4 linked regions of the Arabidopsis thaliana genome follow. The protein of the gene in region 1 interacts with the protein of each later gene in a pairwise test. Each region holds a gene or a part of one and is shown in the gene's direction. Other genes may lie near its edges.

What was found.
Region 2: the proteins of POB1 (region 1) and AT3G07260 interact in a two-hybrid assay, tested with the Arabidopsis thaliana proteins (one large-scale study listed by BioGRID).
Region 3: the proteins of POB1 (region 1) and AT1G16640 interact in a two-hybrid assay, tested with the Arabidopsis thaliana proteins (one large-scale study listed by BioGRID).
Region 4: the proteins of POB1 (region 1) and SVP interact in a two-hybrid assay, tested with the Arabidopsis thaliana proteins (one large-scale study listed by BioGRID).

Annotation. Positions count from the first base shown.
Region 1 is NC_003074.8:22,791,585-22,799,927, forward strand, and holds POB1 (POZ/BTB containin G-protein 1), read left to right. Parts: upstream 1-3,837; 5' UTR 3,838-4,119; coding exon 4,120-4,378; intron 4,379-4,470; coding exon 4,471-4,605; intron 4,606-4,700; coding exon 4,701-4,822; intron 4,823-4,919; coding exon 4,920-4,983; intron 4,984-5,162; coding exon 5,163-5,442; intron 5,443-5,543; coding exon 5,544-6,369; 3' UTR 6,370-6,469; coding exon of another isoform or gene 6,470-6,485; 3' UTR 6,486-6,740; downstream 6,741-8,343. Other genes in the region: HWS (Galactose oxidase/kelch repeat superfamily protein), read left to right, coding at 1,084-1,179, 1,318-2,565; AT3G61610 (Galactose mutarotase-like superfamily protein), read left to right, coding at 7,896-8,006, 8,085-8,159, 8,254-8,310.
Region 2 is NC_003074.8:2,306,743-2,313,594, forward strand, and holds AT3G07260 (SMAD/FHA domain-containing protein), read left to right. Parts: upstream 1-2,866; 5' UTR 2,867-2,961; coding exon 2,962-3,544; intron 3,545-3,715; coding exon 3,716-3,888; 3' UTR 3,889-4,241; downstream 4,242-6,852. Other genes in the region: AT3G07255 (nuclear transport factor 2/RNA recognition motif protein), read right to left, coding at 547-974, 1,131-1,584. UniProt on the Arabidopsis thaliana protein: May play a role in the control of plant organ development. Does not show transactivation activity in yeast.
Region 3 is NC_003070.9:5,683,110-5,689,805, forward strand, and holds AT1G16640 (AP2/B3-like transcriptional factor family protein), read left to right. Parts: upstream 1-3,415; 5' UTR 3,416-3,653; coding exon 3,654-3,719; intron 3,720-4,085; coding exon 4,086-4,424; 3' UTR 4,425-4,618; downstream 4,619-6,696. Other genes in the region: AT1G16630 (uncharacterized protein), read right to left, coding at 1-1,640; AT1G16650 (S-adenosyl-L-methionine-dependent methyltransferases superfamily protein), read left to right, coding at 4,885-5,007, 5,086-5,181, 5,286-5,369, 5,464-5,538, 5,888-5,992, 6,202-6,341, 6,503-6,696.
Region 4 is NC_003071.7:9,576,550-9,586,536, forward strand, and holds SVP (K-box region and MADS-box transcription factor family protein), read left to right. Parts: upstream 1-3,097; 5' UTR 3,098-3,867; coding exon 3,868-4,049; intron 4,050-4,956; coding exon 4,957-5,035; intron 5,036-5,321; coding exon 5,322-5,386; intron 5,387-5,501; coding exon 5,502-5,601; intron 5,602-5,686; coding exon 5,687-5,728; intron 5,729-5,839; coding exon 5,840-5,881; intron 5,882-6,352; coding exon 6,353-6,394; intron 6,395-6,492; coding exon 6,493-6,644; intron 6,645-7,035; coding exon 7,036-7,054; 3' UTR 7,055-7,352; downstream 7,353-9,987. Other genes in the region: AT2G22530 (Alkaline-phosphatase-like family protein), read right to left, coding at 45-129, 219-386, 468-512, 588-684, 762-892; NET2D (Kinase interacting (KIP1-like) family protein), read left to right, coding at 9,343-9,436, 9,540-9,987. UniProt on the Arabidopsis thaliana protein: Transcription repressor that inhibit floral transition in the autonomous flowering pathway, independent of photoperiod and temperature. Acts in a dosage-dependent manner.

The DNA of each region.
Region 1 (8,343 bases):
AAACTTCTTATATTAGTAATCCGATATGTTGGTTAAATAAAATAAAACTGAAATAATCATATTTAGTCTAGGTACAATATTAATAACGCCGGGTTTAAAAAATCATTTAATTGGTTGGTTTATGAGTAAGACAGCATTATTATTGGTGTTATGATATTTCATTGTTTTTTGTGTTTGCAAGTTCTAATTTTTGTTTTTTCTTTCTTTTGCAAATAATTAAATTATTGTATATTTAATACTCACATAGTAAAAATTAAGGAAATAACACGCGCTAACACGCGCCTCAACTTTAATCATTTTATTTATTCAAACCCCATTTCGGAAATAAAAATGACAAAAAAAAGAAGAAGAGGAAGAAAAACAGCAAAAACGTCTACTCTTCTCTCATCCTCGCGCTTGCTCTCTCTTCTCTTTTTTGTCTTTCCCTTTCGTCTCTCTATCTGTCTGTATCATTCATTCGTGTTTATTTACAATCGAACCACGAAACGTCTCTTCTTCTCTATAAAAACCAGATTTTTCTCAATCTCAATCTCTCTCGCTCTCGCTCTCGTTTTCTTTGATGAACCCTTTTACTTCATTCTTACTCTTGATAAATCCAAATTCCCGAGAAACCCATTTCATTTCCTTCTTCTGTTTCTAGAAAGACCTCTTCTTTTCGATAAACCGAGATCCACGAAACCCGCATTTCCTCTCGCTAATCTATTCTAAATTTCGATACTTTTTTTTTTTTTTTATCGGTTTGAATCTCGAGAATTCCGAAGATTCAGAGTCTCCATAGTCGAAGGTGTGTAGCGAATCGAGATGGGTTTCTGTTTGATTTCACTGTCGCTTTCTCTGCTTTCATTTCTGAGTGGTTCATTGATCTCTTCCGTGTTCGTAATCTATGATTGATGATGTATGTTGTTATCAGATGTTTGATTGATGTCTGCCTATAGTCTAATTTCATTATTAAGAACGTTTTTTTTTTGTATACCTAACATCTAAATTTTGTTGTATTAATTGTCATCAGTGGAATCTTGACGTTGAAAGGATGACACAAGCTTTCTCCTTTTTGTTTTTCTTTTGTCTGAAAAATGTATTGCAATGTTAGACAAAGTCTTAATACTATCTCTCTTCTTCGTCTTCTGCATTTTCGATTTACCATTATGCATGTATGCTAAAGCAAATCTGATTGACAAGGTTTTCTCTTGATTTATGTATTGTTGTTTTGTGTTGTTGAAATGAATGATATTTGGGATTCAGATTCGTAAAGCTTTAAATCTTTATGTGTTCTTTTCTTGGTAATGGATTTATTTATTTTTTGTATCGTTGTTTCAGAGGCTCTTGAGAATGGAAGCAGAAACGTCTTGGACCAATTATCCGTACAGCTACATTACATATGTCCCTGAAGCTGAATCATACCGTGAGCAGAGCGACGATGAAGCCAAAGTCGAAACCTTTTCAATGGATTCTCTTCTCCCTGACGATTTATTAGAACGAATCCTCTCGTTTCTACCCATTGCAAGCATCTTCAGAGCTGGTACTGTCTGCAAAAGATGGAACGAGATTGTATCTTCTCGGAGGTTCTTATGTAATTTCTCCAACAATTCGGTTTCCCAAAGGCCTTGGTACTTCATGTTCACTACCACGGATGATCCATCTGGTTATGCTTATGACCCCATTATCCGCAAATGGTACAGTTTCGATCTCCCTTGTATCGAAACATCCAATTGGTTTGTTGCTTCCTCTTGTGGATTGGTTTGCTTCATGGACAATGATTGCAGAAACAAGATTTATGTCTCAAATCCAATTACCAAACAATGGAGGACGCTTATTGAACCTCCTGGTCACAAATCGACAGATTACACGGCAATGTCTACCTCCGTAAACCGAGCGAACCAAGCAGTAAACCGCGCAAACCGGAGTTACTCAGTCTCGATAGTGAAATCGAAGCAAGTTCCAGGGAATTTCTTCCAATGGGATCTCTCTATTCATCTCTACAGCTCTGAAACAATGACTTGGACAACATTAGTAAACGATGTCTTATCCGGATGGAGAGGAGGGAACGAGAGTGTGATCTGCAACAATGTTCTTTACTTCATGATATACTCAACGGGAGGCTCAGATCATCGCCACGGCTTGATCGCTTCGAATCTATCCTCGATAGGATCACCGTCAAGCGGAATCTTGATGAGGAGTTTCATTCCAATGCCGTGTTCTTTAACCTGCGGGAGATTGATGAATCTAAGAGAGAGGCTTGTGATTGTCGGAGGAATCGGGAAACATGATCGACCAGAGGTTATAAAAGGGATAGGGATTTGGGTTTTGAAAGGGAAGGAATGGGTAGAGATGGCGAAAATGCCTCAAAGATTCTTCCAAGGTTTTGGTGAATTCGACGAGGTTTTCGCGAGTAGTGGCACGGATGATTTGGTTTACATTCAAAGCTATGGATCTCCCGCGCTTCTCACGTTCGACATGAATCTCAAGTATTGGAGATGGTCTCAGAAATGTCCTGTTACTAAAAAGTTCCCTCTTCAGCTCTTTACTGGGTTTTGCTTCGAACCAAGACTCGAGATTGCTCCTTAGTTGCAATGAAGAAGCAAATGGGTCTGTGAAAGTCTTGGTCTTTTGGATTGTTTTTGCACAGAGAAATCGCCGGCGGCTTTATGAAGATGATGATACGGTAATGTTTTTAAATTTTAGTTACTGGAAATGTTTTTCAGGAATATTGTTATTTGCAATTTGGTACTCTGTTAATTATAAATTTATAAAATGAGGCCCAGATACTTTTATTTGAACAAACGAACCCTTCTCTATCTCTCAGTGAAATATAAGAACATTTTTCAACATGTGGCCCACAATATCTCATGTAAATGGGTCGGATTCTGAAACTGGAGGTTGTCTTGTTGCTGTTCCTGGTGGATAAAAATAATGATTTTGTTCCTTTTTTTTCCACATATATTCATAATGATTTTTCATGTTTTATTAATTAATTATTGTTGTAAATTATTTTAAAGAATTATGTTTCTGTACTTGTATAAAATTGGGACCTATTTTCGTGATGGGATTTGTCAGGTTTGGCAGTGTTAGGTTTACGGGTAATGGACAACAGCTATTTTATTGTGTATTTTATCATTTTCTCAAGGGTCACTTATTTTCAATTTTCATAGCTATAATAATTTACTAAATTTTAAAATATAACAAAATGTCATTCATTAGTTATAATCGTATAAAAGTTGACGAAGTGATATATAGATTCTACATACTAAAAACAAAATTAATTTGTGTCATTATGCCAAAATGTCAAAAGGAAAAGAAAATTTAGACAATTACTCTGACACATCAAATCAGCTAAAACCTAACTAAATATACCAAACTAGCAACACATATTTTTGTTATTAAAAGCATTTATAATGATAAATCATGATCAGAATCATAGTAAGCAGATTCGAACACTAGTCTCTCAAATTTCGGTAGTAAAGTTTTCAACCATTAGAAGACAAATACGATTTTAACATCATTAGTATTGTTTTTTCTTTTTTAATTTAAGCGTTGGCTTTCCAAAATGAAATAGTAACAAGCATTAACGAGTTAAGTTGTCAATGGGGGAAGTTAAAACTCTTTAAAACCAAAAAATTGACCACACAACACATATAGTGCCCACTAGTTCTCTCAAACGAATATGGAATACTTTAAAACCCACCTCTATTCTCAAGAATTAAAGCCCAGAATTTCAACGTTCTAAAAATAGTTTTGAAAGATTTGTTTTTCACGGGTTTTTCGTAAAATAATTATGAACAAAACAAATAAATTCAAACTAATTTTTACACGTACAAATCTGACTCCTAGCCTCCTAGATGAAATTCAAAATTTTGTACCAGCAGCTCAAAGCTACTAGGTAAAAAATGTCACGAGAGAAAACCGGAGGAATATTGGTGGTTCATCAATACGAATCAAACCGAACCAAGTCATAAACCGGTTCATAGAAAGATAAGAAGACAGACAATCAGTCATCACTTTGGTCTCGTTGAGCCTTTCGTCTATCTCTCACCTGAAAGAAAGACGTTCAGCTTTCTCTTTCCAAAATCAAAAGCTCTCCGATCAGTTTCTCCGGCTTAGGAAATTAATTGAAGGAAGGTGATGAGAGGTACTACTGAGAATACGGATCTGTTCGATCCCAAAACCCAAATGGATCCTGACTTCACTCGTCATGGTTCTTCCTCCGACGGCGATTTTGGATTCGCTTTTAACGACAGTAACTTCTCTGATCGTTTGCTTCGGATCGAGATCATGGGTGGACCTTCGGATTCTCGGTCTGAAGTTGAAGGGTGTACGAGTATCGCTGATTGGGCTCGTCATCGCAAGAGAAGAAGAGAAGATATCAAGAAGGAATCTGGTGGTATGTAATTTGTTCGTATGGTTTAGGGTTTTTGTTATTGAAGTCGAAGTCCAAGTCTTTTTGGGTTTTAATGTTGTGATTTCATTTTGCAGTCACGATTTCAGACATTGTGGCATGTCCTGAGGAGCAGATTTTAACTGATGAACAACCTGACATGGATGGATGTCCTGGTGGTGAGAATCCTGATGATGAAGGAGGAGAGGCAATGGTTGAAGAAGCTTTATCAGGTACTACTATAGAGCAACATCCTTTGGCGAAGTTTTAGCTGTACACAAAGGAGCTTGTTTTGTTCTGAGAAGTGTTTTATTTATTTAATGTTTAGGTGATGAAGAGGAAACGTCTAGTGAGCCAAACTGGGGAATGGATTGTTCTACAGTTGTTAGGGTTAAAGAACTTCATATTAGTTCTCCTATTTTAGCTGCCAAAAGCCCTTTCTTTTACAAGGTATCTAAATAGGTTGTTGATGGATTTTGCTTTTGCTCTCATGTGTACCTTACTCTTTAATCCATTTGTGTTCTTTTTTTCTCGGAAATGTTGATAGTTGTTCTCCAATGGAATGAGGGAATCTGAGCAAAGGCATGTCACCCTTAGGATTAATGCATCAGGTACGCCATTGCAACATTAGCTATCTGAACGTGTTATTGATTTATCACACTAGATACAGTTGTACCGTTCTCTATTAGGTCCACAGAATCAAAATATGGTTTTGATTTGAGTTTGTTAAGGTAACTTGGAGATTCTTAGATTGATTTACATATTATACTCTACTTTGTGTGTATTACAGAGGAAGCTGCTTTGATGGAGCTTTTAAACTTTATGTATAGCAATGCGGTATCTGTCACCACAGCACCTGCCTTATTAGATGTGTTGATGGCTGCTGATAAGTTTGAAGTTGCCTCTTGTATGAGGTACTGCAGTAGACTTCTCCGTAATATGCCTATGACTCCAGAGTCTGCCCTGCTCTATCTCGAGCTTCCCTCTAGTGTTCTAATGGCCAAAGCTGTTCAGCCTTTAACTGATGCTGCAAAACAGTTCCTTGCAGCCCGCTACAAGGATATTACCAAGTAAAGCCCCTGAAACTACATATCCATGATATTACTGTAATCAAGAGCACATGAGATGGTGGGGCGATTCTTATAAGGCATGTCTAAACTTTCTTTTCCAGGTTTCATGAGGAGGTAATGTCTCTACCTTTGGCTGGAATTGAGGCAATTCTATCAAGCGATGAACTCCAAATTGCATCAGAGGATGCAGTTTATGATTTTATCTTGAAGTGGGCAAGGGCGCAATACCCTTGTTTGGAAGAGCGAAGAGAGATTCTCGGGTCACGCCTTGCACTCTCCATCCGCTTCCCATTCATGACATGCCGAAAGCTGAAGAAAGTGCTGACTTGCAGTGACTTTGAGCATGAAATAGCATCAAAGCTTGTTCTAGAAGCTCTTTTCTTCAAAGCAGAAGCCCCACACAGACAACGTAGCCTAGCCTCCGAAGAATCTGCATCCCTGAACCGCCGCCTGATAGAGAGGGCTTACAAATACAGACCCGTCAAAGTGGTCGAGTTTGAGCTTCCTAGACCGCAGTGTGTAGTCTACCTAGACTTGAAAAGAGAAGAATGTGGGGGACTGTTCCCGTCGGGTAGAGTGTATTCGCAGGCCTTTCACTTGGGAGGTCAAGGGTTTTTCCTGTCAGCTCACTGCAACATGGACCAACAGAGCTCGTTCCACTGTTTCGGGCTGTTCCTAGGGATGCAGGAGAAAGGGTCGGTGAGTTTCGGAGTGGACTATGAATTCTCGGCAAGGTCAAAGCCCGCAGAGGATTTCATAAGCAAATACAAAGGGAACTACACATTCACAGGAGGGAAAGCAGTAGGTTACAGAAACCTGTTTGGGGTCCCATGGACGTCTTTTATAGCGGAAGATAGTCAATACTTCATCAATGGCATTCTCCATCTCAGAGCAGAGCTTACCATCAAAAGGTCTACAGATCCTTAGTGACCGTTTACTTCTCAATTGTCACTGTCTCTCTTTCCTTTACCTGCTGCTAAATCTCTCGCTCTCTCTAACTTGCCTTTTTTTTCTTTTCTTTTATAAGGCTTGAAGAAGACTAATAAAGCTTATAAAAGTAAGGTTAAAAACGTTTCGACGACAACGTTATAAGAAGAATGTAAATGCGTTCTTTTTTTCTATCTACCCTTACTCTTTTGGCTTTGGATTATAAGTTTAACTCTTCAATGAAATTCTTAGCGTAGAGATTCTTGTATTATGAACGAAGTTGTGAACAGAAAAGAACGAACGTAACTCTCTCGTCTCATTTAACTAATTTATCTAGTTGGATTGAAATAGACATGACTTTTCGATTTGGGCCATGCGTATGTTGTTGGAGTTGGACTATTTTAAATTCCTGCAATCAATTTCAAAAAAATTCAAATCATATTGACCGTTGATTATATACCGTACACGTGGTACAATGTCACAGATATCTTATTATAATACTATACAGTTCACAGTCCTTTGTTTTCTTTATTAGACAATCATGAGACAAAGTACTGTAATAAACAATTAATCATACATGGAATTGTGAAGTAACTTTTTTGTTACTCTTTTACCAGAAATGATCAAATTTTACAAATGATTATTTTTTGTTCTAAAATTTATTTTAATGTCTTAGATTAAGGAAAGTAAACTAGTTTTGTAATAAATAAAGAAAAATAATTAAGCTCTTAAATATGTATAAATGATTATGCATTTAAGTATTAAGAAAGTGCAATAGTTTTTTTTATTTTATTTTATAATCAGAGAATCCTCGTGCACCAAGAATCTAGTTCCACTAATTAAGGTGTTATTCTTCTCCTCTAACACCAAATTATGTTTGTATCTCTTATTTAAATTCATTAATGACAGGTTTGACATTAATAAATAATATTTTAAAATATAAAATACATTAGTAATTAAAATTAAAAAATAAATGAGAATAAAGAGTTTCATCTGTATCCCGACGGAAGTTGAGTTCTGTTTCCGCCCATTTCTATCTGAAAGCAATGCACGTAGCCTCTCTCGTCCATCTCCTTAAATTCAACAAGTATTTAATCTCTTCCTTTAAATATAAACTCTCAAGTTCATCAAACTGTTTCCATAAGAACTAGTTTTTCTTTTCTTCAGATCCAATTTTATAAAGCAAACCTGAGATTTTTATTAATATAATATATATATTGAAAAACTTCCAAAAATGAGAGTTATCTGGGTTTAATTTAATTTACTAAACATCAAGATAGCTGTTTTGCTCTTTCTATCGCCATGTGTTCTTCTTCTTCTCCTTCCTTGTCTCTTTTTTTTAATGTTTTTTTGTTTCCTTGAGTGAAGAGTGTAGAAGCTATAGATTTCCAGATCTAGTAACATCGTCTTCATGAGATTTTTGTGACAAAGAAAAGCTCTTTTGTCGTTTTTTCTTCTCTTTTGGCTGTGGAAAAAAATCAGAAAACTTGTCAGTGTGTAAGTTGTTGAGGTTTTCAAAATTGAAAATGGGTCAATATGCAACAGTGTGGGATCAAAAAGAAGCAAGTGAGATAATCAAAGATTGGAATGGCGTTGACCAAGTCCTTCTCAGAAACCCACATGGTGCTTCTGCCAAGGTCTTCACTTTTTCTCCAACCATTCTTGTCTGATAAAAATTCGAGCTTCTTTTGCTTATTCTGTGTTTGATTTTCCAGATAAGTTTACATGGAGGACAAGTGATTTCATGGAGGAATGAACTAGGCGAAGAGCTTCTTTTCACTAGCAATAAGGTATCTGATCTCACTACAAAACCCTGATACATTGTGAAGAATCTGAAACATAAAAAGTAAAAATCTGATTTTTATATTGTTATGAATTTGTTAGGCTATATTCAAACCCCCAAAATCAATGCGTGGAGGGATTCAGATTTGTTATCCGCAGGTAAAATTTACTAGTAGCGCTCACTGAACTGAG
Region 2 (6,852 bases), about 20 Mb from region 1:
AGTGAAGAAGATTGAATATGAGTATTGAGTAGCTCCGAGTTCTTCCACACCCACTCCAATGGCGGTTCCTACGGTTATTCACCAGAAGGAAGAACAGAGGAAGAGACGAAGAGCGCGAGAGAAAGAAGGTGCTGAGAATTTCTTTTTATTTGGATTTTTCGTCCTATTTATGCAATTTCATAAAATGTTTATATTTACATTTGTTGCCACTAATCGTTGAGCGTTTTCGTTTGTTTGTTAGTAAAATCTGTTACTTTTTAACTGCTTTATTACTAGAGAATATTTGTTGACGAATTCAAACCATATGAAATTGCATAAATAAACAAATATATATACAACTACACGAATTCTTCACTTTTACTGATACGTTAATAAGAGAGACAATGCAACAAATTAAGTGTAAAATTAGTTGAAAAATGTCAAGGAAAAACAAAACTCTAAGAAAATCATGGATGGAGAGTCCCTTCGAACTCAAAACGTCCATCGGTGAAACTTATATACACAAAAACGAGACAAAAAGAGTAACAAAATATGTAAATTTGTAGTTCACAAAGTTGAGGGAACAACGGTTATATGCCTCAACGGATGCGACACATTAGTCCCACCGGCGTGAACGATGAACTCAGCCGGCGAGAAAGACGTTCCATGGCAGACGCAGATTATACTGATCTCTGATTTTGAGTAACGGTATAGAAAACCATTTACGGTTTTGCCCTCGGGACCGTTACCGGTGCTAGTCACGCAAGGCATCTGAGCAAACGGAAGCAAACTGCCGTTACCGTTACTGTTGGTATGCGGTTTTGGCGGCTTCCCACTCTCTTTGGTTACAGAAGAGTTGGACCATTCTTGGGTCTCCGCGTCTTTTGAACCGTCTGTGTTATGCACGGTTTGCTCTGTACCGGTCAGAATGTTGTTAACCGGAGATCTAACCTGTTTGGTTTGGCCAGATTGTGCCCCAATGTCGCCACTTCCACCTGAACATTAACCATAATTCAAAATCATCTACATGCAAATAGCATAATTTTCGTGATTCTTTAACAGAATCAACACATCGAATTATATACTAAAAAAAAACTATATACATATACCAACCAATTTTAGTTTATTTTTAAAAGAAGGTTGTTATATACCTTCTTGGCGAGAAGAGCTGCTAGGATCGGATACGGAGGAGGAGGTGCAAATGGGTGACCCAATCGTAACGTCTTTACTGCTTTCCTTGAGTCGACCCGACCCGTAACCGTTACACATGTTGATAGAGCTCAAATCCATATCATCGCCGTTACTAACTCCGTTATATTCTGTTCTGATCCTCTTGCACTCTCCTTCTTCTCCGCTTCTCTGCTGCTGCTTCGCCTCCCGCTTCTTCCGTGTTTCCTTTATCCTCGTCACATTCGTCGTTCTGCCGTCAAGATTAACGCCGTTATCCTTCTCGAATCCGACGGCGTTAGATTGTCCAAATGTTTTAGATTTCTCCGTTTTCTTGAAAGGACCTCCCAGGGAAAGACATAGCTCGAGCTCGAGCTCGACCTCCACATTCTCATCTTCTACAAACTTTTCTGCCATTGATAAAGATTCAACAAACATATAATGTCAAAAAGATGGTCTCTTGTCTTCCGCAAAATTTTCCTCTTGAAGGGTTTTGAAGCTTCGCCAACTTTGTTGTATGAGAAAGGAATATTATAAGGGGCGGAGATAATTAAAAAGAGAATGGTAAAGGCTTCGGAACATGACACATGTCCGATAAGGATAGTGGACATGGGCGGTTTCAAAATTCACTAAGAGAAAGGTTAAGAAACTTTATTAGCGCTACAATTTCGGATTATCGATAAACGCTTTCCATTTATTTTGTTGGTTTCTATTTCCATTGGTTGTAAAAATCAAGTAAAATTTTGACGAAAAGTACCGAGACGCCACGTGTAACACGTGCATGGAAACAGTTAACACGTGTACACTGAGATCCTGCTGGCTTTGACGAGGACACGTTGGGTGTTTTGAATTCTTGTGTTCGTATCTGACTCCGCGAATCTCGAGCATAAACACGACCCCGGGATTGACATGTGGCGACCATCTTCGAGAGACAGTGCAATAGGTTAGACAGTCCAGGTCAGCAAATGACGCCGTAACGGTTATTCTCATCTGATGTGTGTCGACGTGGTTCATGTTTGGCTGGCTTCATGGGCACGTGCTAGATGACAAATGGCTGTAAAGAATTATGTTGAGTAGATAGATGACTCGTGTCTTTATTCGAATAGTGGAATAGCTTGTTGAAGTTGCTTTATTATAGCTTGGCTATCACAAGTTCCAGCCTTACTCTTGCATGAATTGCACCTGGAAAGTGGAAAGAGGATTGAGACTATTTGAATTGTTGACAAGAAAAACAAAGGAAGATTCTGCGAATACACTGTGGAATATAGCAAATGTTCTTTTCTCGTTGTGATTTTTTCGGTTGATTAAATGTTTAACAAAATGTAAAGCAAAGATTCTAGAAAAAGAAAACCATTCTTGACTTTGCTATTTCTTTGACAAAAATGTGACGATATTCTTATGAACTTTTCATCATATTTTATCATCATAATTTCAAGCCTTACGGTTATCACATGATCCATATTCATGTCAATGTCATGCTTATCCCCGAATATTACATACTACTGGGTTTATGTACATAAGATCCGGTTCACGTTAATGGGCTGATGCTTTTTAGATAAGGCCCAACTAAAGCTGTTTCTTTTGTTAGCCGTGGAAACAAACTGCCCGTTTTGATTTGATCGCCGTAAGGCCCGTAACATTGACAGTGGAGAGGCTGAAAACATGATGGGTATAATAGTCATTTACTTGAGAAGCCTTTATATTTTTCATTGTACGGTTTAACCACAACATATCTAAACCGGTTTCCAAACACATTCTATTACTATGTAACCCCAAATTTGATCTCCGACTTCAAAATCGGAGAAATTTCACGGCATGGCTACAGCCGTTGGAAGCGGGAGCGATGTAGAGGTTGGATTTGCGAAGCTCCAAGGTGAGGATTTCGAGTACTATATGCAGTCTTACTCCATTATTCTCGGCCGGAATTCTAAGAAATCGACCGTCGACGTCGACCTCTCATCTCTCGGCGGTGGGATGAACATTTCTCGCAACCACGCTCGGATCTTCTATGACTTCACTAGACGACGCTTCTCTCTCGAGGTACTTGGCAAAAATGGCTGCTTCGTTGAAGGTGTCCTCCATCTCCCTGGGAACCCCAACGTCAAGCTCGATTCACAGGACCTTTTGCAGATTGGTGACAAGGAGTTCTACTTCCTGCTTCCGGTTTGGAGTATCCTAGGCGGTCCATTGGGACCCAGGCACCACGTCTTAGGGAAGGCTACTGTTGTTCCGTACCATAATTATCATTCGGGTCCAGGTTCCGGGTCGGGTAAGAATGGCGTCCGGAGTAGAGAGTTGTATGAGTACGATGATGAAGACGACGATGAAGAGGAGGATATCAGAGGCAGTGGAAAGAAAACATGGAGAGATGGACATGAAGGAGTATATGCCTCTGGAGGTAAAACCAAATTGCTCATGATAGCTTAACTTCATTGTGTCACTAAATAGATTTCAGGCTTGTTCTAGACTTTGAGTATAAGTTTTACTGTGGTGGTTGATGATTGAACCTTGTTAGACTTAGATTGAATGATAGTGACACCACGACATTGTATCTGCTTCATTTGTGCAGAGAAGAAGAGAGAGGGAAGATCAAAGGCAGATCGTGAAGCTGATGATCAACAATTTTTGCAGCTAATGCATGGTAGTGGTTGGTCTGTGACAGATATTAAAGGAGTATGGAAACGTATGGCATCACAGTCGAGTAAGAAGATACCTATCACAAGAAGACTGGGCTATCCCTGAAGCAAAAGGTAAACCATGGTACGGTTTGCTGATGCTGCTGAGAAAATACCCGGAGCATTTCGTCATCAACACGAGATCAAAGGGAAGAGTTACCCTTGAATTCGTTTCCCTCGTTACCCTACTCTCATAATCATCGAGATGATTGTTAGTGCAGGAGCAGGATGATTGGTAGTATATCTTTTATGTTTCCACGTAATGAGTGTATAAGTGGGTGTTAGGTGTTTTGACCTTGGTGACTCGTCGGATTAAGTTTTTCTCGCTTTTCTTTGTTACGTTGTATATGTAGAATGACAATGACATTGATGAGTAAAACACTCTCGGATTTAACCTTTTCTCTCTCTTCAAGAAATCGCATAAGCTATTTTCAGCCATATACATACTATAGCCTATATGGCTATTCAACATTAATACACTCTCGGGTAAATTTAACCTTTTAGTTGTTTTCTTATGGCGAAAGCGGATTTGGTTTGCATATTATTTAGTTGAAAAGAAAAATCAAACGAGAAAATATATCACAACCCAAAAGTATACTATACAAAATTCAGATAAAGTTGTCTCAAAAGTACTATGCATAGTACAGATAAAGTTGTCGGAAGGAAATATTAGTATGATTTTCCCCGTCTCATTACTGTACATCACTTAGTCAACGCATACACTGTTAAAAGTCAACACATACAATCATTCAAAAACGTTTGGAGTTTAACACATAACACATCACAAGAGTGATCATCACAAATTAGAAGTTTATTTTACAAACTTGAGCCTATTAAGTTTTTACTTTTTGGCCTAATGAAAATTGAAACCACTTTATTCAAACCCAAAAATCAACTTTCTTCTCTTGTTTTATCGGTGGTCAAGATCTAGGCTGTTCGCAATAACATTTATTATTTTTTTTTCCAATAATTTCGTCTTTAGTACCAACTTTCGTTTTATATATTGCTGCCGTACAACTTGCACTTGCTTACATGTTTATTTGTCTACAAATTATTACTTAAAAGTTAAAACAATATACAGAGAAATCTCCCTAAGTTATTGAGTGATAGTTTTAAGTTTTTTTTGTGAGATAAATTAATTACTATTTAGTATTTTACGTAGGTTTTGGTAAGATTCTTCGATTTTTTTTTTACTTACAAAAACAATAGAAAAAGACTGATGCATGACAAAATTCTTAGAAAAAAAAACTGATGCATATGATAACGTGAGTGAAGTTGGTGCTTAGAGTTGCTAATATTAATATATATATATATATATATATATATATATATATTGAGTGAAGTTTTTTTTTTTTTTTTTTCAATCATTGAGTGAAGTTTTTTTCTTCTTTTCTTTTCTTTTTTAATCTTCTGCTGCAGTCACAAACTCACAGTGATTGTAAAGCTGAAGTTTGTTTCCAGGCTCATTAGTCATTACCCTTGCTACAAAATTAGATTAGCATCAAAATTAATTAGTAAGTATTTAACCTAGGTTTTGATAAGATTCTTGTATTTGGTTTTCTTATCACCTCGAAATTTCCAATTTTGTTTGATTAAAAAGGATATAAGAAACAATAGGAAAACGTGCTTGTGGCATGCAACGTTGTTTTTTTTTTAGATACAGATACAAGGCTATTTTCTAAATTCAAAATCTTAATCCGACCAAATTTAAATCTATAAAAGTGATTGGTTACAGACACTATTTTACTTTTTTGTCTTTTTCAAGAAGTTATTTGGATTTTCAAAATTACAGCATTAATTAAAATAGTAAACATATGTTAAAAGCCTAGGCGGATAAGTGAAAATATGATTTAAAACATTTCTAATGCATATTTTATTTTATTTTAAAGGAGATTTTAAAATATAGAGAATAATTCAATGTGCCTTTATTTTATTTTAGAGAAAATTCTATTTTAGATATATATAATGGACTAAAATTTTTTATATAAAAAAAAATTTCTTAAATAAAAAATAATATAAAAATGAACATTGGAGATGGTCCGTAAAAAAAATGGAATATTGGAGATGATCTTGTTTAAATACTAATTACGGAACTACCTACTTTAGAGATATCTATGTGTTAATAATTGTGGTATGTGCTAATGATATGGCTATGTCATCCTCTTATGTTATATTGCAAGTTGTTTCAAAACGAAAAGTATTTGAAAATGGTCGATTATTATACGTATATACGAGTAAAAACATATTTCAGTCCGAACTAATATAATTATACTCTCTAACTACTTTCTTTTTTTGGTGAAGTACTCTCTAACTACCTTACGACAACAATTATTACCTGAACATTGAACAATGAATTTATTACGAAATACAACATGATCTACAAGATATATCGTGAAACACATTTAAATAGTCCTTATTTGGCGTTAAAAATTGTGTTCATGGTAAGTTTAATTAGCGTATAAATATGTACGATAGATATAGTTTGGGTTGAAATCGTATATTTTCCCCTTTTCTCCGTTATATGATTAAAAAAAAAACAATTTGAGGCATAGAATAAGCCCATTTAACTCCTACTAGCCTCACTCACTTCCCCAAATTTCTTAATCACCACTGGATACTATGGGCTATCTAATTTATTTTAAAATAATAAATAATAACTACTTAATTTTTTATAACATTTTTGGGGGCAACAACTTAATTTTTAATGGACCTTATAATTAATGGAAAACTGAAATAATTAAAATAATTATTACTAGATGACTAACTTTTTTATACAAATTACCAAAAGTGAATATGGAAGATTTTTTTGTTTTTTTGTTTTTTTTTGCAACATACCCTCAATAGTTTAAAACTATGCACTTTTATTTTTTACATTTAATGTTATTTCTAATGATACTGTATTACATTTTAAAAAAAAAATTTATTTTAAATATAGCACATTATTTTAACATATTCATTATGCACTTTAGTTATGATTTTGTCACATATTTTTGTTATCTATCTAATTAGCTCAATAATTAATTACTCTTAT
Region 3 (6,696 bases), on another chromosome or scaffold:
GAATACCTTTCACCTCCGTTCACCTCTGTATCTGTAGCTATCTTGATCTCAGCCTGCTCATCACATTCATCAACAATTTCTAAGTTTACCTTTCCTTCTTCATTCTCCTGCTCGACTTCATTATCATCTTCTTCGTAGACAGCTTCAAGACTGATTTCACCACTGTTTTCCGATTCTTCTTCAGGTTCCTGATGACCAACATTCACTTCTTCTATATCCACTTCTAAGCTATCCACTATGAACCCATCAACAATGATTTCAACACTAGTTGACTGGAAAACAGCATCAGACAACCTTTTGTCTTCCAAAAGAACTGTCAAGTTATGAAATTGAAAAGGAACACTTCCCTCCTCTTCTCGTAGACTTGAGACCAGCTTATCAAGATACACAAATGATGATTCTGCCCACATCCTCAGCTTTGCACCCAACTGCTCAAAGTTCTCGCTAGCAGACATTATGATCTCTGGAGAGATGTTAAACTGATAGAAAGGTGAATCTGTGATGGTTTGTTGAGAAAACGTCGTTGAAGAAACCAACAACAGATACGCCACACCAAGAGCCAAAATCCAACCAAGCAACATGGATGTCTTGCTGAAACGAGACTGTTTTGAAATCTGATGAGTTTCTTCTTCTTCAATGCTTTCGCCAACTACTACTTCTTCTTCTTCATCATCACTCTCTACAGCTTCCAAACGCTCTTCACCATCAACATCCAGAATTTCCTCTGCGGCTTCCAAACGCTCTTCACCATCATCTTCTTGTTCTTCTACTGCAACTACACCTTCCTGAGAAGCAACTTCCTCCTCTTGTTGACCTTCCTCCTCTCGTTCTGCAGACAAATCAGTGTCAGAAGAAGAGCTTTCAGAGATGAAAAGCTCCTCAAGCTGCTTGCACTCATCAGAACGATGCTCAATTTTTGGATTTGGCTTATAATGGAGAAACTGAGGCCTCGGTGACAAGTAATTCTTCTTTGGATCATAAGGTGCCACCACTGGATCCACTTCATGAGACTCAAACACAGGAAATGTGCATGGAACATAAGGAGGAAGAGGACTGATCTTGAAGCTTGAATTATCATTACTCTTCCTCTCAAGAATCTCATCGAAATCACTGACAGTAATATCATGTGATTCCTCTTCACGAAGCTGCTTAGTTTCATCGATGCAAATCTGGTCTACATCTTTATCTTCCCCAATGATGCTTATCACATCAGAAAACGAGACAGACGACTTTACCTGAACCTGGTGATGGGATTTGTCAAAGGATCGAGACACTTCGTTTTTATCAGACAAGATCTTCTTCCTCGGCGATGGATTGATCTTGGAAACGGCTGAAATTGTCGGTGACATGAAATGCTTGGAACCTTTTGTTGGACCTTTGACGACATTAGCGATTTGATCCTTGTCGTTCTGATTCTCTTTATCACCAATCTCAACACGATTACTGCATTCTCTACCGATTGAGTTTCTCCGGGACGGATCTGCCGAAAATGGATTGCCTCGGAAACTGCGACGCATCAGATCTCCGGTTTCCGAGTTTCTTTGCTTAGGGTTTGGTCTGGAAGGCATTGAAGGCGAAGAGGAAGAGAATAGAGAAGAAGGAGAAACAGAGATCTTGTTCTTTGCTGGAGAAGACGCCATGAATGAAAATCACTCCGGAAATCAGAATGGGTTATTTAACAAATCTCAGATTTTTTGCGCTCGTTAAAGGAAAGAAAATATGCAAGAATCTGCAAGATTGTGAATGTAAAAAGTTCCTAAGTTTTTGAATTTTTAAAAGAGAGAGAGATAGAGAGATCGTAACGGCTAGTTGCCAATTTGCGATTTATTTATACATAGTGGATAGAAAAATCCCTAATAATTTTAAGTATTGCAAATTGATTCTGATTTTGACCATTTTTCACTGATACCCTAGTTTTCCAAATTTCTGTTATCTCCCCATAAATTTAAGATCTATCTAAATGCCCCATGCTTATTAAAGACTTCACAACGTAAGATTTGATTCCTCTTTCTTCCTGTAAAGTTGTTAAATTTATAAACGTGGATATTTATGGACAATGTAGAAACAGTGGGAAGAAATTAATGATTCTCAAAACCTTGGGGTTCAAATTAAAACAAAATTTCAATTTCTGTAGCCGGAAAATAGAGCAGACGATGTAACTGGGCCGCCACGATGATGACACGTCTGATCGCAGAGAATAAACTAGCCGTTATGGGCTCTCGTAAAGGGTAAGAGACGTTAATCAACCTATTAAAAAGACAGGTAAATCAGAAAAGCAGGCTTTGGGCCCGTCCACTGATGGAAAAAGTGAAAGCACCAATTATGTTGAAGGTTTTTACTTAACGGGCTTTTGACTGACATTAAAGAAAATTTGGTCATCGGCTAACTAAATAGGCCCAGTTTACATTATTTTCTGAGTTCCAATGAAATAAAATCCTTTTCTAAAAGTCATCCTCAAATACCACATCTGTGTGAACCTCATCGACACAAATCAGAATATCTTTCATAATTTTATGGATTTATAACTTATTTTGCGATTATCTGCGAAAGTGATTAATTAAGATGAGTGTTCATGTTGCAGAACTAATCGTTTTCGGAATAACTACCATCAAAATAGTTCTAGACAATTGTTACAATTACGTTTCTAGATTAATTTAGTCCATGAGAATTGAATTCTGAGGGGATTACTTTTCCTTCTTTCAGGCCAAATTTTTGCTATTGAATATCAACCTGTTGATATGAGTTAAATCTGCATTATGACTTATGAACGCAAACGAAGAAAAAAATACCAAATCAATTTAACAACAGAAATAACAATCAGAACTTTGGTATGAAATACTTAGAACCAAATCAACCAATGATGAATTTTTCTCAATCGATTTAAGGCAAATTGAGACAAAACTAAAAGATCCGACAAAATCCGATTCTGAGAAAACAAAATCAACGATTTCATACTAAAAGAAAAGGATTTAAGGGAGAGCGAGATTCAGATGGTAGTGCATGATGGTAAGATCATCAATGATGGTCAGAGTTGGATTGTTCTATGGAATCATCTTTCATCATCATTATCACCGCTCTCTCCTCTTTATTAAGAGTAAAACATCGACTTTAAATCTAAGAAAACACAACACAATAGACAAAATAACTTCTAAATTTTTCCCTAGAAAATAGTAATGAAGCTTCGAGAAAACACTGAATTTCTAGAGCAGACGCTGTTTCGAAGAATTCTGAGTCGTACATCAAAAGATTTGAGGTCTTTAAATAGTGGAGAGAACTCTAGGGTTTTAAGTTGGATCTTCTAGGTCGATAGGATTTGTCTCAGCTCGTTATTGGGCTATTGGGCTGTATAATTTGGCCCAATAGTAATAAGAGTTTGGTTTTGTACTTTTTGTATGGTGTGGCCTTGTAGAATAGAAAAGCAGTGATTGGTCAAAAGGTGGCAAGTTGTTTGACTATGACATCAATTCCTCATTTCATCTTTTTGATTTACAGAGAAAATTGAAATAGTCCACTCGGGACCATTGAAGCTCTCTCTCTGTTTCTGCATTACAAAAAGTGTTTGTTTTCAAGGTTTCTCTCTTTCACTTCTCTTTGTTTTCTTCATTTCAATTTCTGGATTTTGCTTGTAGCTACATTTGGTCTCACTCTATTCCATGGCTGACACTGGTGAGGTTCAATTTATGAAGCCTTTCATCTCAGAAAAGTCATCTAAATCATTGGTGAGCATGGCTCTCTATCTTTCTTCTTTTTTATTTTCTTATTTCAACAAGTTCAAAATATGTGTTTAGTGTTCTGATTTGGAGACTTATGGTTTAGGGTAAATTGCTTTAGTTCATTTTCATGGAGCTAATAACTTAGGTCCTTTAATTGCTTTTGTTAGCTTTAAATTAGCAAAAAGCAAATGAAAGCTTACTGAATCTTGCTAGATTTAGAATGAAGTTTATGTGTTGGTGTTGTTATAGGCTGCTTGAACCAAACATTTCTGCGGGGCTGAAAAGTGAAAAATAGCAAGTCCATTGTTTCTACGTTGCTGCTCTTGGAATGTCTCCTGAGAGTTGTTTTTTTATATATAAATGTTTGATTAGGAAATCCCCTTGGGATTCAACGAATACTTCCCAGCACCATTTCCAATAACTGTGGACCTCCTGGACTATAGTGGGAGATCTTGGACGGTTAGGATGAAGAAAAGAGGAGAGAAAGTGTTTCTTACAGTTGGTTGGGAGAATTTTGTAAAAGATAACAATCTCGAAGATGGCAAGTATTTGCAGTTCATCTATGACCGCGACAGGACCTTTTATGTTATCATATATGGTCATAACATGTGTAGCGAATATAGAGACTTCCCTCAAGTCGCAGTAGAGGTTGATGACTATGAAAACGGTGAAGAAGAAGAAGACGGCGACGATCAAGACAAACATCAGTAACTAAAATTTGGGTCTACTTTAAGTTGCTTTAAGTTTAAGTAGTCAGTTTTCATGTTGGATTTATGTAACCAGTTGTTTAGTTTAAATATTACGAATACTAGTATTTGCTTTCTGCTACATTCTTTGGAACATGGTTTAAAAGATTTACTGTGTATTGCTATCATTTTTGTGATAATTGTATTTGGTGAAGTAGAGTGTTAATACAAGAGAATGAGAGGAAGTGTAGGAGGGGGCATGAGTCAAAACCTTCCGGTGCAGTTAGAGTCTCTTGAAGACTCGGCCACGTGACAATATGGGTGTATTGACAACAGAATAAATAAATGTGGGCTAAATTGAATAAATTAAAATTTACGAGGTATTTTTAGAAAACATTTTGACGGTTAAAAGCAAGTGTTTGCTGTTTGGTTGGCTTTTGGCGGCGGAAACTAGAATCGTTGCTGCTACTCAGGTCATCGGGATAATGAAGAGCAATAAGTTTTCTTGCAAAACGAGAGCCGAAACCCTAGAATGGATCACAGCCATTATCGATTTCCTTAAACCGTTTTCTTTCCTAATCAATGCTCACGTTGTCAATTTCTTCAAGGTATGATCGATTATCGGAAACAATTTTAAATTCAGCTTCGAGTTGGGTTATGAGTTGATTGATGGGTTTGTATTCCAGGATAAGCAATGGGAAGCTGTTAATGAGGAATGGATGAGTTGCTTAAAGGATGAGAAGCCGGAAAATATTCTTCTTATTCCCTCCGGTGGTGTCCAGGTAAAGTTCTGGTCTCAGTCTTCATGATTGAGATATTTGATAGAAAGGGTAGATTTTTATTTTAGTTTGGAAAGGAGATGATTGATTATAGTATTTGATTATAGGATCACTGGCCTGCTTCACTAAAGAAATTTGTTCACACGTTGAGGTCTCTATCGTTTCCTCGAGAGCAAGCGGATTTACAGGCGGTATTGTATTCTCTTTACCTGTTTGTGCTGTTTCAGGATTAGTATTTTTAGATCCTAGACTAAATAAAGTTTAATCATTTTCGACTGTTGGCAGATACTCGCAGACGTGGATATGGTACCTCTTAGCACCGTTCTTTCACAGGGCATGAATCTTAAGAAAAAACATGAGGTACATTTTTATCTTCACACTTCACTATCCAGAGGTGCAAGTCGTGTCTTTCAATGATGTCTTGTTTTGGTAGGAATTTCAGTAGATTGCATCTGGTGACTAATCCCAATCCAAGAACCTTAAATTCAAAAGAGAGTATATATTTTTTTTGTAGCTGTTCAAGTCTTTTTACCATCAAATTCTGGCAAAGTTATCTGCCACTTCACGCGTAAAACATGAAATTGAGGATCATTAACAGCTCATAGCATTTTATATAAAAGTTTCTTAGTACAAAACTTATGTTTGTTTAAACGTAAGGTATTTGTCAAATGTATCTTATACTGGCCACTTCATTTGAATGGATCTGTAGGTCACTTATTATGGTATCATGCAGGTTGAAGTTCTTTCCTCTGTTGTTAGCTCAGTTGTTAAGAGTGTTGGAGCTCCTACTGTTGTTGATGTCGGTGCTGGCCAGGTATCTTCAATCCCTTTCTCTTGTTTAACTATCAATCTTAATTGCATGGTTCCTTTTTCTCGTCTGCATTGGTGAATTCTCTTTTTGGCTGTTTAAGGAATATTTCGAGTGATGGTTTTTCTTTCATATCAGAGTTTTAGTAACTTTGTAGTATATTATAGCTTTCCTAAAGTGTGTTAAATAACATCATTGGTAAATGTTTTGTCCAGGGTTATCTAGCGCAGGTTCTCTCTTTCCAATATAAGCACTCAGTGGTTGCAATCGATTCTTCCTCTCATCATGGAAAGGTAACAGATGCACGCGCAGCACGCATAAAAAAGCATTTTGCAGCACAGATGCGTAAATCTGGGTAAGGGGTTAGCTCATTATAAGTTTATTTCAAACCTTTACCAAGTATCAGATGTCTCTTTCCATTTTTAGCTTGAAGAGTCGCTCATTGTTTTCCTAATTCTTTGTGCACAGTTCTGGTATTTTAGACTTGTGAATGCTACTTAACCTCTTCTCTGTTAGTTCAGGAAACAAGTGCCCAGATGTTCCAATGACGATTACATGCCGTGTTTTATCCACAGAAATGTTGAAGGCCTTGACTGATGTTCATCTGGAGAAGGATGAGACGGATTCTAGTGGAAGTGCATTGAATGAAGAAGGTCAAAGCAGATCACAATCATCAAGTGATGCAAACAGATCGTGTTCACTTGTTCTTG
Region 4 (9,987 bases), on another chromosome or scaffold:
TTGCAAGCATGAAAAATTTCTCATTGTTGAAAACTAATAGTTACCAAGAATATTATCATCTAAGAGAGCTTGTGTGTTAAAATTAAAAGCAACATCCAAGAAACCACCAATTGCCCCAGAAACCATTGCCTGAAAAAAACAATGAATTCTATCAACTAAGCAAGCAAATAAATTCATTTAGACTGTGATCATCCACTTAATCACAACTATACACACACCTTTAACCTCGGCATGGTAACAGTTGGAGGAGCTGCTTTAGCATGGTAACCAATAGCATCTCCATTAGCTAACAGTGACTGAGTATAAGGCATAGACTCTTTCAAAACCTTCTCTGGAGGTTTACCATCTTTCCCAAGAACGAACTCCGCAGGTAGCCCATCAATAACCTAAACTAGCATCGCTTTAACATCCTCAAAAACACTCTCTCACAAAGATCAAAATCAAAATTTTAACAAAGTGCAACATACCATTAAAATCAGTCGATCATATTTGGAAGAGATTCCAGATAACTCCTACAAATTCACCACTATCAAACTCAAAAGGGAACTTTACACATTTGTTTTTGGATTCACAAAAGAGACAAATACCTGGTACAGCAATCTCAGTTTCTCTGGATGATGAAGCTCCGATTCGTTCGAAATCAGAGAAGAATCACAGAATGGATCTCGATAGCTCTCCGAGCCACTGCCATTTCAAATAAACAAATCAATAGAGCGTAGATTCTTCTTCTTCGACTTCAAATGTTATTGATTTAGTAGTACCTGACGCCGGAGAGAGTCGGCTTGACGGGGAAGAAACCGAATACGAAAATGGAGAGGCCAATAATCTGAAGTAATATTCCGGCCACCGTAAATATCGTCAGTCTCGTACAAGTCATCGCCGCCGTCGTCATTTTCAGGATCCGGCGAGAAACTGAACCAAAATAATACTTATTTTACTCGTAAGGAAAATTTGGGCCTAATAAAAGCCCAATAATAATAAAAAGCCCATTAGGGACTCCGCTTTATGATAACGGTGACTGTAGTTTCCTTGATGTGTCAGAGAGAGTGTGTAGTGTAGGGACTGTGTAGAAAGAAAGAAGCCTAAAATGGCTAAAAGGTTAGGTGCAATGTTTCATTAGAGAGGCTTGGAACTGTTAAGGGAAAGGTCACGAGTCGTCTACTCATAAAAACTCTGACACTTTGACCAATCAAAACTCAAAGACCTCACCAGTTGTGTCACGTGCGCCTCTAAACACTATTCAATTTCAAATATAAATGATTCATGCGGTTCCAAACGCCAATTGATGGATGTTCTACCAAATTTAATCTACTTTTACCAAACCATGACAAATATGAATAAACATTACTTGATAATAATTTTGTGAGTGAACAAACTTTTTTTTTTTCGAAACCAAACCAAGCTGAAAAAAACTCAACGATTTTCTTTGTTTAAAATACGTTAGAAAGGAATATGTATTATGCCGAAATAAGTAATATCGATCAGGCCACCTCTCTTATAGTTATTCTCCTAGCAACTTTAACCACTAGAAGGTTTTGTTTTCTAGTGTTTTCTAATATACGTCATCAAAATTTTCAAAAAATACTACATTTTTGTTTTAAAAACTTCCATAATTCCATTACTCGTAGAACACAAACGCAAACCATATTAATATTTTGTTGTCAACAAAAATTTCAAATTATAATTCAACTATATTTGCTTGATTACCCAATTAGATAGAAAAGAGTTAAAGAAGAAAAGAAAAGAGTTTACAGTAAATTAACGCAAACCATAATTATATTTAACACCGTATTAATCACATCAACCATATGACTTTTTTACCGTTTGCAACTTCATAATTCATATAGTATCATAATAAATTCGCAATAATACAACACAAGAGTTTCGTCGGAAGAGTAAATAATACTCAAATAGGGGGTGAGTGATACGAGCCACATGTATTCTTGAAGGGTAGATTATTGCAAACTTGGAGTAATAAAGAGAAGAAGAATGGGTTTGTAGTAGTTGCGTGGAGTATCTTTATTTGGGTAAAACTTTAATTTAGAAATAAAATTCTGTACGGACAATGGATCGTGTCCCAATCAGATTTCTTGTGGCTGCTTCGGGTCTGGTTTTGGGTCCCTTTGAAAAATTTTAGTGGTCGACACTTTTTATTTTACTCTGGCTCGTGCCTCGAGGGTCCCTCTATTCACTGTTTCTTCGTATGAAGGTATGCTTAAACATTATTTTATTTTTAAAAACCCTTTAATTTTATTTTCTTACCTTTAATCACGGTTTTGTAAATTGCTTTTTAGTCTATGGAATGATGATTGTGGCGATTGAAATCATATGTTTGGTTCTGTTGTTGACGTTGGTGAAGTATATGTGATTTGTAATGTTGAGCTTATGTATTAAAATGTTAAATGATAAATAACCTCGTAAGAAAGTGATTTCATTTAAATTTTATTTTGAGTTACATATTCAATTGGTTTTATAAAAAAATACTTCAGTGATGATTGATACCCCCATTGTGTGTGTAATTGTTACTGGGATTGAACAAAATTTATTTGTGCATGACAAACTTTCCAAATTAGTGCATAGATTGTAATTGTATAATGGACTACATGTATCTGAGTAGATATGGTTCATTAGGTTACAAACCTCTTTTTTTAAGGACACAATTTTTCGACAAGTTATATGCCACATGATTGACTACTAAATTTTCAAAAATTATTGCACTAATGTCTTTGAAATTAACAAATTATTTTGTCATTTCCGAGTTGGATTCTTACAAACCAAGGCCGAACTCACAAACTTATTTCTTTCAGTAAAAACAAAACATTGTCCTCAGAAAAATTCTGAAATGTCATCTTCCCAAATGTTTTTACATAAATAAAAATAATATACAGTTGATATTATTTTGTTCTTTCTGAATTTTGTTATGAGGTACCATTACCATATAGTACGTAGATTTACAAAAATGAAAATACGTTGTAGCCCTTGATGTTCTTCAGGTCTTCTAGTTAGTTTTTGCAGTAAATACCAACCAATTAGTTACAAGGAGTATAAGTGAACAAAGTGAGACAACTCATTTTATGCTTCCCTATAAAAAGAAATTCCCCACTGACCCAAACACACACTTCTCTTCTCTCTCTCATCTCATTGGAGACTTATAAATCCTATTACCTCACCATATCCAATAACCACCACACACAGACCAATATCCAAAAAAAAAACTAAAACTAAAAATATAATATATATCGTTTTCTTTCCAAAAATAATCATTTAAGAAACCCCATCATCTTGATAGTATTATAAAATTAATAAACCTCTCCCTGAAAATATCTCATCCTTCACCAATCAAAACCTTCTCATGTCTTCTTCTCTCCTCGACCTTTGAGGTGGAAAATTAAATATATTCCCTTAGCTTTTTTTCTCCTTTAGTTTTCTTCTTCTTCTTGAGTTTTTTTTCTTTTGATCCTCTCTAATTTCCTTGTTGATTCATCGACTAGATCTAATTCTTCTCACAAAAGACTGAGTGTGTTCTTTCTTTCAAATCTTTCAAAAACTAGGGTTTTTACTGTCTTGAAATCATATTTATTCTTCTAAATTTAGCAAAAAGAACACGATTTACTTTCCATTTCAGTCGTCTTGTCACTCTCTCTCTCTTCTTTAAAGTCTCCCTTTTTAGCAAAAATTCTCTCTCTCACAAAATTTATTTCCTCTGGCTTCTTCTTCCTCCTCCTCCATCTCTTCTCTTTACTCTCTCTTTAATCATCTCTCATTCTTGAATCTTGATCCATCAAAATCAATCCCGTTCTCGAAAGATCCATTAAAATCAAAACCTAAGCTCTCTCTCTTGCTTCTAGGGTTTTTTTGTTCGTTGTGATGGCGAGAGAAAAGATTCAGATCAGGAAGATCGACAACGCAACGGCGAGACAAGTGACGTTTTCGAAACGAAGAAGAGGGCTTTTCAAGAAAGCTGAAGAACTCTCCGTTCTCTGCGACGCCGATGTCGCTCTCATCATCTTCTCTTCCACCGGAAAACTGTTCGAGTTCTGTAGCTCCAGGTCTTTCTTTCTCTCTCTAACTTCCCTCTCTATAGATTTCTCATAACTCATCGAAGGAATCTTGTCTAGATCCAGACAAAAAACTTTAAAGAGTTTTTAGATGTATATCTGATACATAGGAGTTTACTGTATCAATCTTTATAGGACCACTAACTATTTATATAATTAAAATAGTTGTTAGAAACATTAATCATGACCATAAATGACATATATAAAGTGTATAGTAAAACTCTGTATTTAGATAAATTAAGGTATCTAACTACGGTAATATTCAAAAAGATGTAAATCTGGATATGCATATATGTATATTATTAGTATATAAATACATGCTCTATAGTAGGTATTTGTGTCAACCATGTATAAATCTATGTATATAGATATTGTGGTATGATATGTTTAAGCCGTCAATGTCATATTTATATAGAAATATGTGGGTACCATAACATGAGGAAGTATCTATATGTGTGGATGTATAAAGCTTTCCCTTTGAAGAAGTAATCTAAAAATAATATATATATATATATGTATATGTATAGATATGTTGGAATCTTTATTAGTGTTGGGAAAAGTCATTTAGAGAGATATTATTGATATTAGGGATCTAAAATGACTTATCGTATTACAGAGATACGATTTTGGATTTTTGACCCACTAGTTATCAGCTCAGTTCCTATCTTCGGGGACATACACACTTTCACAGATAATTGTGTATATATGTAACTGAAAACGATAGTGTTAACATGAAATAATGTACATGTTTGGGATTAAATGTGTTTTGTGGATTTGGTTTGCATCTTTTGATTTTAGATTTTGGTATATTGTCGGTGTTTACATATGCACATTGTTAATATCAACAGTATAGTTGTTTATAATAAGTTATTTATTGGAATGTGTTTATATTATGAAGCATGAAGGAAGTCCTAGAGAGGCATAACTTGCAGTCAAAGAACTTGGAGAAGCTTGATCAGCCATCTCTTGAGTTACAGGTTAGCTACATTCTCGAAACGACCACACATTTTCTTTCCCGATTTCTGTAACTTGCAAAATCGAGTATTACTCCGTTGAATTACCAATATGTTTTAGATTGTTGTATTTATTGACCAAGAATCTCTTAAAACTTTGTATTAATAGGTACAAAACTTTATATTATTGCATATGATTAATTAGACTCGATCCATGTAGTAGTCATGTAGAGTAGTCCTGTGTAGAGAGTTGAGCTTTAGATCATTATGGATATGATTAAGAGCTTAAATCAATGTTTTATTCTGTTAGCTGGTTGAGAACAGTGATCACGCCCGAATGAGTAAAGAAATTGCGGACAAGAGCCACCGACTAAGGTACGTTATATATGTATATTCTATGACTTTTGAACTAACTATCATTTTCTAACTAATTTTTTTTTTGATCAACCACTATCATTTTCTAACTGTGTGTTTACATGATCATATATAGGCAAATGAGAGGAGAGGAACTTCAAGGACTTGACATTGAAGAGCTTCAGCAGCTAGAGAAGGCCCTTGAAACTGGTTTGACGCGTGTGATTGAAACAAAGGTTGTTAAGAAAATTACTTGATACCATGTATAAGTTTCTCTAAGCTTACGAGTATGCAATTTACTAATACGAGATGTGTTTGCAGAGTGACAAGATTATGAGTGAGATCAGCGAACTTCAGAAAAAGGTAATAATTAACCAAAATAACGTTTATTCTTTACTTGATGATTTCAATATTAATTTTGGCAGTTTCAAGATCCAAAATTTTCATCTTCTTCTCTTTTTTTTTGGTGTTCAGGGAATGCAATTGATGGATGAGAACAAGCGGTTGAGGCAGCAAGTATGTGTCTTACCCTCTCTGTTGATAACAAATCCCTTTCTTTTGTCTACCATTAACGTACACACCCCTAAATTTAATCCCCAGTTGTCTACAACACATATGTTTGATCATACTGTGAGATAAATGAATAAACCAAGTGATATAGCGCGATTTAAAAATGTCTTTAAAACTAAAGGTAACCATGTAGCTAGTTAGTCTCTAGGGTCCTAGAGGTCTACGAGTGTGCATGCATGGATTTGGTGCGTTTTTTCTTTTTCATCTTCATTTTGTTTTTTGAAACAGGGAACCATAAACGAATATATATCTAATTCTTGTTTGATATATAGTTTGGTCGAGGCTTCATGTCAAGATTTGCTCATTCGTAGTTAGTTGATCTCTAGAGAAATTCAAAACACATGGTGCCACTAAAAACACAAAATGCAAATACTTAGCTAGAGAACTTAATGATATGTTTTGTCTTGATTTTTGCAGGGAACGCAACTAACGGAAGAGAACGAGCGACTTGGCATGCAAGTACGTGGATATATATATAGTCTTGATTATTTTGAATTTTGTATGTTTGTTATCAGTTTAATGTTAAATTTGGAATATTTTTTTTTGGTTACGTGTAGATATGTAACAATGTGCATGCACACGGTGGTGCTGAATCGGAGAACGCTGCTGTGTACGAGGAAGGACAGTCGTCGGAGTCTATTACTAACGCCGGAAACTCTACCGGAGCGCCTGTTGACTCCGAGAGCTCCGACACTTCCCTTAGGCTCGGGTAACCAATTAATCACCCTTTCTTTTTACATTCTTTTGAGTTGATAGCTTTACATGATTTTTTTTTTGTTTTTAAATTGAGACAAAGAATATAAAAATATATACTTTAAACGACCATATACATGTATGTTGTCCATATTTATTGGCATTGCAAGATATGGATGACACAGAATCGTAAATAAATTTGGTTTATTTGTTGTATATTTGTAATTCTAACAAATAACATGTTATTTTGTATATTTTACATGATATCATGCTATTTGTTAAAATTACCTGTCATAAAAAACACCACTTATTTATGGTTTGTTTTTTGAAAATTCTGGCACAAATCTAATCATCTACAAAATCACTCTAAAAAATAAGTTATTGATTTAATGTATGGTGTTGTGCAGCTTACCGTATGGTGGTTAGAGATGGAACAATTCAAAGAAGTTGATGGAGTGAGGAGAGTAATGTAAATCTTTTTAACTCGGTAGTAACAAGAGACAATGTCTAAGTAGTGAATTCTCAAATGTTTGTGTAAGTTTCTGCCTATGGAAGAGGCTTTCATTTTTATGATTTTCACTATGTATGATCTCTCTTCACTGCATTTCTGGTTAGTAACGCTTGTCACCGATAAACTTTCTCGTTATGGAAAGTTAGAATATAAAATATTGTAGAATTTTGATTATCGATATACTCTTGGTTAGGGATCAAAAATATATTTTAGTGATGCCTCAAATAACTAATAATCATCATAGGACTCAGTCTCATTAGAAATTTTAGTGTAACAAAAGTGTGATTCGAATTCATCTTGTTGTTTTGTTGAATTTGTTGCAAAGTTTTACAAGTTTTCTCAGACCAGAGATTTCAAGTGTCTTCATTGGTGATGATTCTGGTGAATTGATGATCTTACTTGTGTGTGTGACACTTGCAATGTGTCTTGTTTGAGAAACACATTTGTAGTTTAGTTGGAGCTGTGCGGTTGGATGAGACTGAGTTCTATGATAATAAATTAGAAGCAAAGTTTCAAACCATATTCATACGATTCATTATGTTAGCAACAAGAAATATGAATATGGTTTGAAACTTTGCTTCTAATTCATCATTCGTTACACAACGTCCAAAATCTAAAAAAGTTTCAGATTTTCTCAAAATTCAGTAAATGGGCCTCTATATAATGAGGTTTGACGTTTTAGAGATACTTTGCACAAGAAAGAAGGTTCTGGTCGGATCGTTACACACCGACCTTTGACCGGTTCATCAAAACGTGTCCGGTTTTATGTTTAAACCGTCACAAAGGGGAAAAAAGTTCTTTAAGATTCAATTACTTAATGATTAAATTCTTTGCTTGCTTCAACATCTTTACAACTTTTTTATTAAACAAAACGACATTTTCACATTCCTTTATCCACTAAAATTCTTTGTCAGATTAATCTATATATACATTTTTGCAGCTATTTTAGCAAATAAATCTTAGAGTTAGATTTATTTACAACTCAATGCCATTAACATTAAATTTTTTTTCCAAAATAATTAATTTTACATTAAATTTTTAATTTAAATTGTCAATCACATTATCAATCAAATTTAATCCAAACAAACTTCACATCAATCCCTTAAAATTAGCATAAACTTCACATTAATTATTTAGACATGAAAATATTTATTTAAAGATTTAAATCTTCTAAATTTTTGCTTTTAGAGTTATTATATCATTACCTAAAAGGCAAAAAATATTAATTTTTTAAATATTATTATTTATATATTTAAACTTCATAAAACATTATTAATATTTGAATTTATAAAAAGTTTAATCTATCAAAACTAATTAACATTATTATATAATATATAAAATTAAAAAAATCTCAAAAAAAATTTCGTCATATTTTGTGATTCGAAATTTTAAGAATGAACATATATATTAACCAATTGGCGAAAAATGTGTGGGTTCAACGTCCCGCAACGACTAAAATATTTTGACAATGATTCATAAACATATTATAAATAAGATCAATATTAATAAAATAAATAGTTTTTTTTTGTGGACGGGTTTGGAAGGACGGGTTTGGCAGGACGTTACTTAGTAACAATAGTAAACTATAAAATAATTTACAAAATTTTATATATATTAATTTTAAAAAATGAATTGTCTCCGCGGTATACCGCGGGTTAAAATCTAGTTTAATTTAATAAAATCATACATTTCTGACATGTTCTGTAACGTTTGATGATTCATAAGAATCATCGGAAGAGAATCCTTCCGACTTCTCCTACCACGACGCTGGCACTATAACATTCGTGTAAACACCATTCGTACATATAAATCAAATATTGAAAATTTTGTAACAATTTTTTTTTTAATAGTCTTTAAAATATTTTTACCAAAATACTATTAAGGTAGAGAGAGAGAAAGAAGAGCGAAGTTTGCTCCCACCCATGATCGCTCTTCTCTAAGAAAGAAAGAAAAAAAAAAGAGATTCAATTGTTGCACGTTCTTTCCTCAATTCTGATTTTGATTTACAACCAAAAAAGACCTTTAAGTTTCCTTGTGGGTCTCTCTAAAAACCGAAACTTTTCTCTTTCTTTTTCTTTTCTTATTAAGATCTAGACTCTACAGAGAGAGATTGTTGGTTCACACACATATCAAAGTTACAATCTTTCTGGGAATTTGAATGAATACGATCAAAAAGAGTTGAAAAAACGAAAACTTTACGACGATGCTGCAACGAGCTGCGAGTAATGCGTATTCATGGTGGTGGGCGAGTCATATTCGAACCAAACAATCTAAATGGCTCGAACAAAACCTTCAAGGTCTCTCCTTTTGAATCCATGTCTCTTTATATAGGTGTTTGTTTCTAAAAAGTTGAGATCTTTGAGGTTTGATCTATTTTTTGTTTTGGATATGAATTTGTAGATATTGAAGAGAAGGTTCAATATGTGTTGAAGCTATTACAAGAAGATGGAGATTCGTTTGCGAAGCGTGCAGAGATGTATTATAAGAAGAGACCAGAACTCATTAGCTTCGTTGAAGAATCTTACAGAGCTTATAGAGCTTTAGCTGAACGTTATGATCATATTTCTACAGAGCTTCAAAATGCTAACACGACGATCGCCTCTGTTTTTCCTGATCAAGTTCCAAACTTTGCCATGGATGATGATATTGATATGTCTAAATTTGCTAAAAGATCGAATATTTCTGGTGCTAATGTCCCTAATGTTCCCAAACTGCCTGTTAAGGATTTGAAGAGTGCGGTTAGAGTGGCTACGAAGAAGCTTCAGCCGAGGAAATCTATGAAGTACACGGGTGGTTCTACGAATGTTGTTGTTAAGAGCTCGGGTTTGAGTAAGCCTGAGGCGATGGG